Cricetulus griseus: one gene and its partners. The protein of the gene in region 1 interacts with the protein of each later gene in a biochemical or structural test. Links are inferred from orthologs where the notes say so. Each region holds a gene or a part of one and is shown in the gene's direction. Other genes may lie near its edges.

What was found.
Region 2: the proteins of Abl1 (region 1) and Rad51 form a complex in vitro, tested with the Homo sapiens proteins (2 studies listed by BioGRID). The link is inferred for Cricetulus griseus from reciprocal best matches to the Homo sapiens genes ABL1 and RAD51.
Region 3: of the proteins of Abl1 (region 1) and Rin1, one has a biochemical effect on the other in vitro, tested with the Homo sapiens proteins (2 studies listed by BioGRID and IntAct, with this or other methods). The link is inferred for Cricetulus griseus from reciprocal best matches to the Homo sapiens genes ABL1 and RIN1.

The regions. Positions count from the first base shown.
Region 1 is NC_048599.1:143,528,076-143,531,722, forward strand, and holds part of Abl1 (tyrosine-protein kinase ABL1), read left to right. Parts: intron 1-161; coding exon 162-314; intron 315-1,784; coding exon 1,785-1,874; intron 1,875-2,339; coding exon 2,340-2,504; intron 2,505-3,212; exon of another isoform or gene 3,213-3,647. UniProt on the Homo sapiens protein: Non-receptor tyrosine-protein kinase that plays a role in many key processes linked to cell growth and survival such as cytoskeleton remodeling in response to extracellular stimuli, cell motility and adhesion, receptor endocytosis, autophagy, DNA damage response and apoptosis.
Region 2 is NC_048599.1:59,357,722-59,361,319, reverse strand, and holds part of Rad51 (DNA repair protein RAD51 homolog 1), read left to right. Parts: intron 1-3,235; coding exon 3,236-3,349; intron 3,350-3,598.
Region 3 is NC_048596.1:54,230,127-54,234,351, reverse strand, and holds the end of Rin1 (ras and Rab interactor 1), read left to right. Parts: intron 1-79; coding exon 80-231; intron 232-1,023; coding exon 1,024-1,476; 3' UTR 1,477-2,123; coding exon of another isoform or gene 2,124-2,250; 3' UTR 2,251-3,646; downstream 3,647-4,225. UniProt on the Homo sapiens protein: Ras effector protein, which may serve as an inhibitory modulator of neuronal plasticity in aversive memory formation. Can affect Ras signaling at different levels. First, by competing with RAF1 protein for binding to activated Ras.

The DNA.
Region 1 (3,647 bases):
TCATTTATAATGTACTACCAATAACCTTATCTTGTGTACGGTTATGTTCCTTATCGAAAAGGTCTTTAGGCTTGTGAGGCAAACACTTTACCCACTGTGAGTCATCTCTCTGGCCAACACCTCACATACCCTGATGTCTTCCTCTCCCTTCTTTCTTTCAGCATTTGGAGTATTGCTCTGGGAAATTGCTACCTATGGCATGTCACCTTACCCAGGAATTGACCTGTCACAGGTTTATGAGCTGCTGGAAAAAGACTACCGTATGGAGCGCCCTGAAGGCTGCCCGGAGAAGGTCTATGAACTCATGCGAGCATGTGAGCCTCCCCAACCCGTTCAGAAAGTACATATGGGCCCTGAAGAAATTGCAGTGGTGCAGGTCTGCAGAAGGCTGTTTCAGTGGGCCCTTGGCACTGTTCCCATACTCCCAAGCCACTCATGGAGTCTGGCTTTTGTGTGCCTGTCAGGGCATTTATTTACAGATACCATACATATGAGTTGTTTTTCGTTTGCCTTTGAGAGGGATATTTTTTGATTTGTTTCTTGTTGTGGATCAGAATCTCACTCTGTAGCTCTGACTGGCCTGGAACTCATGGTGACTCTCCTGCTTGGACCCCAGGTTTTCGGGTTTTAGGTGTACACTGCTGTGCCTGTGTGCTTTCTTTTCTTTTTATTTATTTTGTTTTTCGAGATAGGGTTTCCCTGTGGCTTTGGAGGTTGTCCTGGAACTAGCTCTTGTAGACCAGGCTGGTCTCGAACTCACAGAGATCCGCCTGTCTCTGCCTCCCGAGTGCTGGGATTAAAGGCGTGCGGCTCCATGTGCTTTCATTTTTTTAAGCATAAAAGGATCAGATGAATACCAAACCTGGGTTCTTATTAGTAGGCAGATTCCTGGTCCTGCTTCCACACACCTGGCTGTAAGTGCTCCAGGAGATGGAACTCTAGTGGTGTTTATGTGAGTGTATGTGTGCATCTATCTGCCTGTGGTGTGTGTCTACACATAGTCTTATCGTCTGTGTTCATATGGTCACTCCCTCACCTTTTTCTTCTTAGAAGTGTGTTTGAGACATTGCTCCCTATTCATATATTTTGATTTTCCTCACCCTGCTCCCCACCTTCAATACATCAGGTGTTTAAAACTTCTACTCATCTGTCTTCTTGTGATGATTTTTTGGCTGTTTCACACATTTACTTTTGTTACATTTTATTTATTTGTTTTTGTTTGTTTATGTAGTTGTATATTCCACAGTATACAGCTTGCAGGAGTTAGTTATCTTTTTCTACTATGTGGATCCCTGGGATCAAACTTGTTATCAGTCTTGGCAGCAAGTGCTATCTTGAGGGTCCTGTGTTTGCTATAAACAAGGCAGAGATAGACTCTTGTCCAAGGTCACTATACTTAACCTTGATATTTCTAAAAGCTGGATTGTTGGTGCAGAGTTTGTTTTATTTTGTTTTAGGTTTTCAAGACAGGGTTTCTCTGTGTAACAGCTCTGGCTATCTCAAAACTTGCTGTGTAGACCAAGCTGGCCTTTAATTCTCAGAGATCTGCCTGCCTCTGCCTCCTGATTGCTGGTATTAAAGGGATGCACCACCACCTCCCACCTCTTCTAAAATTCTTAACATCTGTAATAGGACACAATAGCATTGGCAGTTTAACTTGCCATGGCATTAGCAGTTAGCAGGCTTGGAGTGCCTCCATCATGTCCAGATCGTTCCTTGGGATGACTAGCCCTGGCTTGATAGCAGTGCTTCCCCCTGCTCTGACATGGGTCTTTTCTGTCCAGGTTGGCAGTGGAATCCCTCTGACCGGCCCTCCTTTGCTGAAATCCACCAAGCCTTTGAAACCATGTTCCAGGAGTCCAGTATCTCAGATGGTAAAGTCCCTCCTGGGAGCATGCAGTGGATTGAAAAGTTGGATTGGGGCTAGACAGGCCTTTAGTTCATTCCTGTAAAAGTGCCCAGGCCAAGGGAGAGACAGAACTCTGCGCAGAGGCTGGTCCTGTGTCTCTGGAGTTACACAGAGTTCTAGAAAATGCTGTGCTCTTTCTTCAGCATTTGTCCCTTTTCCCTAACTGCATAGACCTTAAGAAAAGAGAGTCCTGGAATCTGGAGACAGCTCAGTGACTAAGAGGACTCAGGCTCAGTTCCCAGTACCCAAATGGTGGTGGCTCACAATTCCAGTCCCAGGGGGTAAAACACCCATATGCACAAACACACACACAAAAAAAAATGATTAAGAAATATGTATAAAAAATTAGAAAAAAGAAAGGAAAAAGAGAATCCCTTTCAAGACGGCACCTTTGCTGACAACTGCTGGATTGTGTGTGTGTGATCCTTAGAAGTGGAGAAGGAGCTGGGGAAGCGGGGCACGAGAGGAGCTGCTGGCAGCATGCTGCAGGCCCCAGAGCTGCCCACCAAGACCAGGACCTGCCGGAGAGCTGCAGAGCAGAAAGACGCAGCTGATGCCCCCGAGCTTCTCCACATGAAAGGCCTGGGAGAAAGCGGTATGTCCATGCCTTCTCACCCTTCAAGCCAGGGAAGGCGAGCAGACAGTTGTCAGTGGAGCTGGCAGAGAACAGCAGACCCTCCTCAGTGGTCCAGCTCCAGGGAAGGGGATCTACCTCTTGCCCAGAGCTGCCATTCTCCCCCAGGGAGCCATTCAGCAGTTGCTTAGATAGGCAAAAAACTGGGATGCCTGCCGAGAAGCAAACCCACCTTTCCATGTGTTCTTCACAGTGCTGTGGGCATCTTCCAGGACATACATGGCAATAAACAATGTTCAGCCAAATAGAGCAGCCTGGGAGTCACTCATTGTAGGCTTGGTCCCTGGGCCCAAGCTGGGATCCCTGTAGTTTCCGGAGTGTGTTTTTGCACTCTTCTAGGTTTAGTGAGGGCAATGCAGCTGGGTCTGGAAGTGGCTAGAGATATACAGGGATGGTATTGGCAGCCATGTGGGGAGTTTCCTGCATGCCAGCTATGTTCTGAGTACTGCTGGACCAGCATCTGACTCTCCTGCAGACCCACTAAAGTCTGTTTTTGAGGGTGGTGCTTGAACTCACAAAGGCTCCCAGGGGCCCCCAGCATGGGCTGATGGGCCATGGGTCTAGTTGAGTGCGACCAGGCAGGACAAAGTTTAGCTGATAAGGATTCATAAAGGGTATTTACTCAACAGAATCTATAGTTAGTTTTTTTTGTTTTTTTTTTTTAAACAGATGTGCTTTTAACCCCAGACTCACACTGATGAGAAGCTGAATGGTCAGACCCACACAACACATAAAGTACTTTAGGGACCATCCTAGTCAGCCCTGGCTACTGCTGCTGACATGAAACACCATGGCCAGAGAAACTGGAGAGAGAAGGCTTTTTTAGCTTTTGCTTCCACATCACAGCTCATCATCAAAGGAAGTTGGAACAAGAACTCAAACAGGGTCCAGAGATCCACCTGCCTCTGTCTCCCGAATGCTGAGGTTCACTTCTCTCAGATGACTTTAGCTTATGTCAAGTTGACATAAAACTGTCCAGCACAGGGACAATGCACACAAGTGCCCCACATATGTGTTTGGAAGTTTTCCTGAGGATGTGGCTCAGCAGTTGTGCTGAGGAGTTGTCAGGACCTGAGTTCCAATCTGCATAACCCATGTACTAGC
Region 2 (3,598 bases), about 84 Mb from region 1:
ACTGGCTGCTCTTCCAGAGGTCCCCAGTTCAATTCCCAGCAACCACATGGTGGCTGACAACCATCTATAATGAGATCTGATGCCCTCTTCTGGTCTGCAGGCACACATGAAGACAGAACACTGTATCCATAATAAATAAATCAATCTTTAAAAAAAAAAAAAAAAAAGATTCCAGCAACCCCCTCCTCCCAAAAAACTACTAAAGATGAGAAAAACCTCTTATTTTAATGTGTATATTTGTATAGGCATGGACATTCTTGTGTGTGTCTGGTGTTCGTTGGAGGCCAGAGGACAACTGGGAGTCAGTTCCTCCGTCTACTGTTGTGGGTTCCAGGAACTGAGCTCAAGTTTGGTGCCAGTCATGGAGCTATCCTATTTGCCCAGAAGAACATTTATAATTAAAAGATCAGTTCATCAGGAAGACATGATAATTAATATAATTAAGATTTCTTTTTATTTTATATGTATGAGTACTGCCTGCATGTATGTCTGGGTACCGTGTGCAAGGATTACATATGGAGGTCAGAAGAGGGTGTCAGATACTCTGGAATTGGAATTGTAAATGATTTTGAGCCAGGAGTTGGTGGCGACACAAGCCTTTAATCCTAGCATTTGGACACAGAGACAGGTGAACCTCTTTGAGTTCGTGTGCATGCTAGAAACTAAAGCCAGGTCCTCTGCAAGGGCAGTAATTTGTTTTGGTTTTTGGTTTTTTTTCCAAGATAGGATTTCTCTGTGTAGCCATGGCTGTCCTGGTACTTGCTCTGTAGGCCAGGCTGGCCTTGAATTCACATGGGTCTGCCTGCCTCTACCTCTGCCTCTGCCTCTGCCTCTGCCTCTGCCTCTGCCTCTGCCTCCTAAGTGCTAGGATTAAAGGCATGCTCCACCACCACCTGACCCATTATCTTTAAATATACAAGACTACATCACTAAATTGAAATTGTTTGGAATCTATAGATCATGTCAAAATTCTAGCAAGTTTCTTTTCTTTTTTCTTTTTCCTTTTTTTTTTTTTTTTTTTTTGCAAATTGACAAACTCATAAAACTTACGTAGAAAAATGTGGGGGAGATTGTTTTGTATGTATGTATGTGCACCATAATGTGCCTAGTACCTTCAGAAGCCAAAAGAGGGCATTGGATGTCCAAAACTGGAATTTGGTCTATATTCTGGTTGTGAGTTGTTGTATAAGTGCTGGGACCTAACACCTAACATTGAACCTAAGAGCAGCCACTGTTCTTAACCACTGAGCCATCTCCAGCCTGAGGACTCAACTTAAAACTCATTATAAAATGACAATCATCATTACAGATGATAATGACTTAGAAACAGATAAGCAGCTAGGGATATATCTCAGTGGTAAAGTGTCTAGCTTACATGGTAGAATGAGAAAACAGAGTCCTGTGGGTTGTTCTCTGACCTCCACACATGTGCCATGTAGTGTGTACAATAACATGCAAAATATTTTTTTAATTTTTAAATTTAAAAGGTATTTAAATGAAATCTAATGGACTCTAATTCTTTGGGAGCTTGTGTTCATGATTCTATCATGATAAAGAGTATTATCTTGGGGTTGGGAGTCAAATAGTATAGTAACTGGATATATATTTTCTGCATTTAAATCATGGCAATAAAGGAGGAAATACATATAATAATGCTGAGTATGATAATGTATACCCATCATCCAGTATTGGGGAGGCCTAGGCAGGGGAATCTTGAGTTCAACATCAAGTGGGGTTAAATAGACTGTCTCAAAGAAAACCAGGGGCTGGGCATAGTGGCACATACCTTTAAGCCCAGTACTCAGGAGGCAAAGACAGACATCTGAGTTCAAGGCCAGCCTGGTCTAAAGAGAAGTTCCAAGACAGCAGAGCCAGAACTACACAGTTCAGAAACCTTGTCTCGAAAAAGAAAGAAAACAAAAAGGGGGGAGCGTATAAGCCTATAATAATGCCCAATACTTGAAGGTGGAGGCAGGAAGATCAGGAGTTCTAGGCCAAACTCAGCTACCTAGGGCATTCAAGGCCATTTTGGACTAAAAGAATCTCTCAAACAAGGTAGGTATAATAATGCACTCATAATCCAATCACATCAGGGACAGAGAAAAGAGTTGAGTTTCAGGATACCCTGGACTACATAAGAGTTTTAAGCAAGTCCTAAACAACCAAGGTCTGGGCATGTTAGTACAAGTCTTTAATCCCAGCAATTGGGAAACAGAGGCAGGTGGATCTCTCTGAGTTCCAGGCTAGTCTTCGGAGCAGGTGGCAAAACAAGTTTTTATGTCCATTTTTTTCTTCTCTGGTGTTAAGATTCAAGCCAAGTTTTAGAAGTGCAAAAGGTAGAGAATTAAATCTATTTTAGATGTGAGGGGAAGCTGGCAAAGTATGGTATGGCATCTTAGGCACTTGTTATGCAGCTGCTCTGGAGACAGAGTCTTGAAGATTCCTAGAGACCAGGATTTGGGGGCTAGCCTTGGAAACATAGTCATACACCCTCTAAAAGAATTCTCAGAAAAAGTTTTACAGAAGCCATTTAGCTGAGTCCTCACAGATGAATGATCAAACTTAACTGCCTTCAAAGATGGAATTTCTCCTGTTGTTACATATTTAATAAGAATGAAATTGTTGGACCAGGCATAGTGAGGCATGCCCTTTCTTTAGTTCTACCACTCCAGGCATAGAAGGCAGATGTCTGAGTTCAAGGCCAGCTAGTGAGACAACATAGTGAGGCCCTAAAGAGAGAGACTGTCTTACTTGAGCCACCTTGAGCATTTATGTTTTAGGTAGCAGTTACAAAGTTAAGAAAATACAGATCATTTGATGAAAGTAGATAATTTGCTCTTTTTAGATGCAAAAGAAAACAATCTTTGGGACATAAATATTAAGGTGTCATTCATGTACATAACTAATGTTTGAATGGGTTTTTTTTGTTTATCCTAATTCTGCCTTTAGTTCTTGACTCTTCCAGAATATTGTTACCTCATACTTCAAAATTTCTCATTGTAGGTAGGAGGTCAAAAGAAGAAATTTATCCTTAGGTCTTGCTTCTAGTCAATAGTTAATGCTGTCATCTCTATAAATGGTTTGCCTGTACCTCTAGTAGAAAGAGAATCATATTTATGGGTCCTGAAACCACTGGGAACGCTATCTCTTATCTCTTTGGGTAGTAGAAATATTAGGTATTAATTTCACATGTCCTGAGTTTTTTGTGTCTGAAACCTAAAAATCTCTTTTCTAGGTATGGTCTGTCTGGCAGCGATGTCCTAGATAATGTAGCATATGCTCGAGGGTTCAACACAGACCACCAAACCCAGCTCCTTTATCAAGCATCAGCCATGATGGTAGAATCCAGGTATGTATTCAATAAAAGACATTTAAATGTATCCCCATAGCCCTTTCCTGAATCTGCATAATAATTTGAATAGAAATGGGAGACATTTAAATTTTAGGGATTTTAAGAGGGGGCATTGTTTGGTTTGTGGTTTTTGTTTGTTTGGGTTTGGGGAGGTAGTTTAAGACAGGGTTTCTATGTGCAGCCCTAGCTGTCCTGGAACTCCACTCTGTAGAACAGGCTGGCCTTGAGCTCAGAGATCCATCTGTC
Region 3 (4,225 bases), on another chromosome or scaffold:
GTCGCTAGCAGGTCCTGAGCAAGTAAGGAAGGGAAGGCAGGACGCCCTACTCCAGCCTGAGCTGTACCCTGTTTCCTAGGCGGCTACTACCTGACCAGCCTGTCGGCCAGCCTGGCCTTGTTGAGTGGCCTGAGCCAGGCCCGCGCTCTCCCACTCAGCCCGGCACAGGAGCTCCAGCGCTCTCTGGCCCTCTGGGAACAGCGCCGCCTGCCGGCCACCTACAACTTCCAGGTAAGGGGCCCTTCCACATGTCTACCCCAACTGGCCGCGATCAGAGAGACTCTGACATCACCCAGCACCGTTCCTCTAGCCCTGCATCAGCCTACAATAGAAATAGAGGCCCATCTAAGTATCAGAGCAGCCCGTGTAGGGAATGTGTTTCATGCCACAGGCACTGGGCTTTGAGCTCCAGGGCAGCTCCTTGAATCTTCACAGAAACTCTGAAGTAGGGCATTGTTTGCCCCATTTTACAGATAAAGAGGTAGAAACTGAAGTGGAGCGTGAGAACTTCTTGGTCCCCAATACCAAACAAGGTTCTACCTTCCTTGTCGTCAAGCTTCCATCTATGCTCCCATTTGGGCCTTGGCCAGGGTGCACTACCTTGAACTTCAACCTTCTCAGTCTTGCTATGAGTCTAGACTTTGTAGCTATACCTTTGCCCCAGCTCTATCACTTTTTTTTTCCTGTGCCTTGGTTTCCCAGTCTCTAAAATGGGCATCTGGGCTGCCATGAAGGTTAGATGCACTGGTGAATGTTGGGGTTAGCAGGAAGTAACTAGCCCCAGGAACAGTTAGAAAGAGCCCTGCACACAGTGGACCCACCTCTTCAGGATTCTGAAGTTCCCTCTGGGCTGGCCGTGCACCACTAGCCCAAACACATTTCTCTCTGCCCCAGTGTCCCCTTGGAGCTCACGGGGCTCTTGTCACCCACCCCACCCTCTTCCTGCACAGCTTCAGCCTGTCCCTTCTGCTTTGGAGGTGACCACCCAGCATAGCTGAGGGCTTGTTCTTGTCTTCTGCACAGCACCTCCTCCGAGTAGCCTACCAGGACCCCAGCACAGGCTGCACCTCCAAGACCCTGGCAGTACCCCCAGGGTCATCAATTGCCACCCTGAGCCAACTCTGTGCCACCAAGTTCCGAGTGACCCATCCTGATGCATTCGGCCTCTTCCTCTACAAGGACCAGGGCTACCATCGTCTGCCCCCTGAAGCCCTGGCCCATGGGCTTCCTGCAACTGGCTACCTCATCTACCGCCGTGCAGAGAGGCCTGAGACCCAGGGGGCTGCAACAGAGAAGGCAAAGGCAGGCAGTGAGAGGCAAGAGGCGGGAGCATGGGAGGAGGAGAAAGGGGGCGGGAATAGTGAGGGAGAGTTGGAGACAACTGTTGACCAAGGAGGAGGCGAGAATCAGGCCAGAGGAGGTCGTGTACAACCAGAGGAGCAAAAGGCAGAGGGAAGCCAGGCTGCAGAAGAGTAGCCAGAAAGAGCCAAGAGGGTCACCTGGGCCTCCAGGAGCCTCTAAATATGCTCTTCCCAGCTGCCAAGCTTCCTTCACCACCCACACCCAGTTCTCTGTTGTGTCTGCCACTGCCTCTATCTGATCTTCATGAGTCCACCTGCTAGGAAATGGGGGCTGGACACATAGACTAGGGCAAGTTAAGAGAGTTAGGAGACTCCAAGACCCTGTGTCCAAGGCCCCTGGCCTGTGTTCCTCCCTAGTCCACAGGGATAAATGTCCCTGGAAAGGAACAAAGTCATCCAATAGCCAACTCCAGCATAGGAGGAAGGGTGTTCCTGGCTTCTTTTGCCTCTCGTGCTGCCCATGGGCACAGGCAGAGTTGCTGGCATTTCAAGTCCCTGAACAATTCCAATCGCTCTTAGTTCCAGGGGCCAGGGTGGCGGCAGAATGACAGCAAAGGTCCCCAAACAGCTCTCCCCTGGTCTGCAAAGAGGGGATATGAGTACTGTTTTGCAGGGCTCCAGGAGTGATCCAGGCCCCACATGGATACTTGGTGACAAAGACTGGGCAGGTGAAAGGGAGAACAGGACAGGTGTTAGAAGCCACGTCATTCTTTAGGGCGCCTGCCCCCACCAGGCTGGTCTCATCTGTGTCTTCTTCCTCAGTCAGTTCAGAGACTGCACTGGAGATCAGGTCACAAGAGAGAAAGCACCTATGTTCCAGCCTTTTTTCAAGATCAGAAATCTAGTGAGGCACTTCAGTATTTCTGGGAAACTGGACCCTGGGAAGTAATGCCCACCAGCAGGAAGAGAAGTTTCCAGAACAGAGAGCGGTGCTCCACAAACGTTGTCTTTGTACTCCTCTTTTGGGGCTCTTGCAAAAGCTTGACCATAAGGCACAGCACAAAGCTTGTGGGCCCACTGCAGGTAATTGCCAAAATGTCTTAGCAAACTACCCCTCAAGGCCAGAGGGAAGCCAGCTGCAAATCTGAGCAGAGGAAAATGCCCACCAATAGCCACAAGAGGGCATGCACAGCCTAAGAAGCTACAGAGGGTGACACACACACCCCTCCCGGCCAGGGTGGGGAGTATGGATAATGAGAGTTTAAGAGCCATAAAGTGTAGGCAGTCACTGGCTTTATACTCTTACAGCTATTGACAGCCTGGAAAATGCAGGGCAGAGGCCACTTGCAGTCAGAGATTCTTAGGGAAGAATTGTTTCCAGTATCAGAGGCACTCTCCTGGGCCTCAGCACAAGGACACCAGCTCACATGCCATGCACGATTACCAGGAGGTAGAAGTGTGGACCCTGACTTTCAGACCCACATCTAGCCAGTGTAGGTCTCCAAAGTAGTCACTAGGCCACCAATGTTCCTTCTTACCCACTTGCATGCCCCTCTCTCGTAGGGGAGAGTGTATGAGAAGGGGCAAGCCCATCTGGTATCTAATATCGAGCAGAGGGAGAAGATGGTCCCAGCTCCTTTTGCCTCTCTACCACCCAGAGGCATAGACAGGGTTTCTGGGACTTCACGGCCCTGAACAACATGGCCCTCTATTCCATGATATGCCCTCCCTCCCTGCAATGCTTTGTACAGGACAGAGCACTCCACAGGGGCTCAATAAATGGTGTCCAATGACTGAAGCTTGATAACCAGCAGTAAGGGACTGGGGTGGGGTGGGGTAGGAAAGCTGTTTCTGGGAATGAGACACAGGGGGTGTGGCGTGCAGTCCCAGGGTAAGGACCTGGAATGTCTGAAAAGGATGCTCAGAGAACCCCGCAGGCAGGATACGGAGCTGGTCTCATGGGAACCAAGACTCTGGGACCTCCATAGGCCCTGCCTTTTGTGCTCAGTTCTAATTCTGGGCTTTTAGAGTTCAGTGCAGATCCAGCTATGGCTTAAAGAAGCACTTCTGGGTCCTGCCTGCTGTCTGAATTTTTTTTTAAAAAAAAAAATCTGATTACCTACCAATCCAGGCCAAGTCAGTACGAGTACAATTTGGGATCAATGGAAGACTAACCAGGCAGAGTTGGTAGTAATACAACAGTCTGAGACTAGTGTGTCCATCTTATTTTTCTCCTCCCAATGTCTCCATTTTATAAACAAGGAACCTGAGGCCTTCTTCAGGAAAGTGGCTTGTTACAGACAGAAAACTCAACATATACCTTCCAGAGAGAAGGAATCATTTAATCATACTCTCAACAATCAAAGCCAGGCAATCGGAACACACATCTGTAATCCCAGTACTTGGGGAGCTAAACAGGAGAATGAGGAGTTAAGGGTTATCCTTGGTTACCTAGTGAAAGCCAGCAAGACCCCATCTTAAAAAAGGGGGGGTGAGTGGATTTTGTGGTATAGAGACAGTTCTAGGTGCTGTGATCTAGGGGTAACTGTGAACCACTGCATTCCAGGGAACTCTACCAATGTCCTAGAGGTCAAGGCTCTGAGATGTGCTGTCCCTTGTCCAGTGACCACTGCTGCAGTGCAGGATGGGGACACTGGTTGGGTGTCTTGAAAGCAGACATGTCACTTCCTTGCTTGGCAATGTTGTATTTGCCATTTTAAAGTCAGGGCGTCGGTTTGTGTGTGTGTGTTTATTATCTGTCTTCCCAGTGGCATGACAGAGCCATACTGGCCTTCTTCCCAGCAGGCCTTCAAGGACCTAGAACAATGCCTGGGCCGGAATTGGCACTTGTAAAAATATATGTGGAATAATGCAGAATGGTGGATCTGGGAAGTCTTCATCCAAACCCGTCCTGTCTGTTCCAG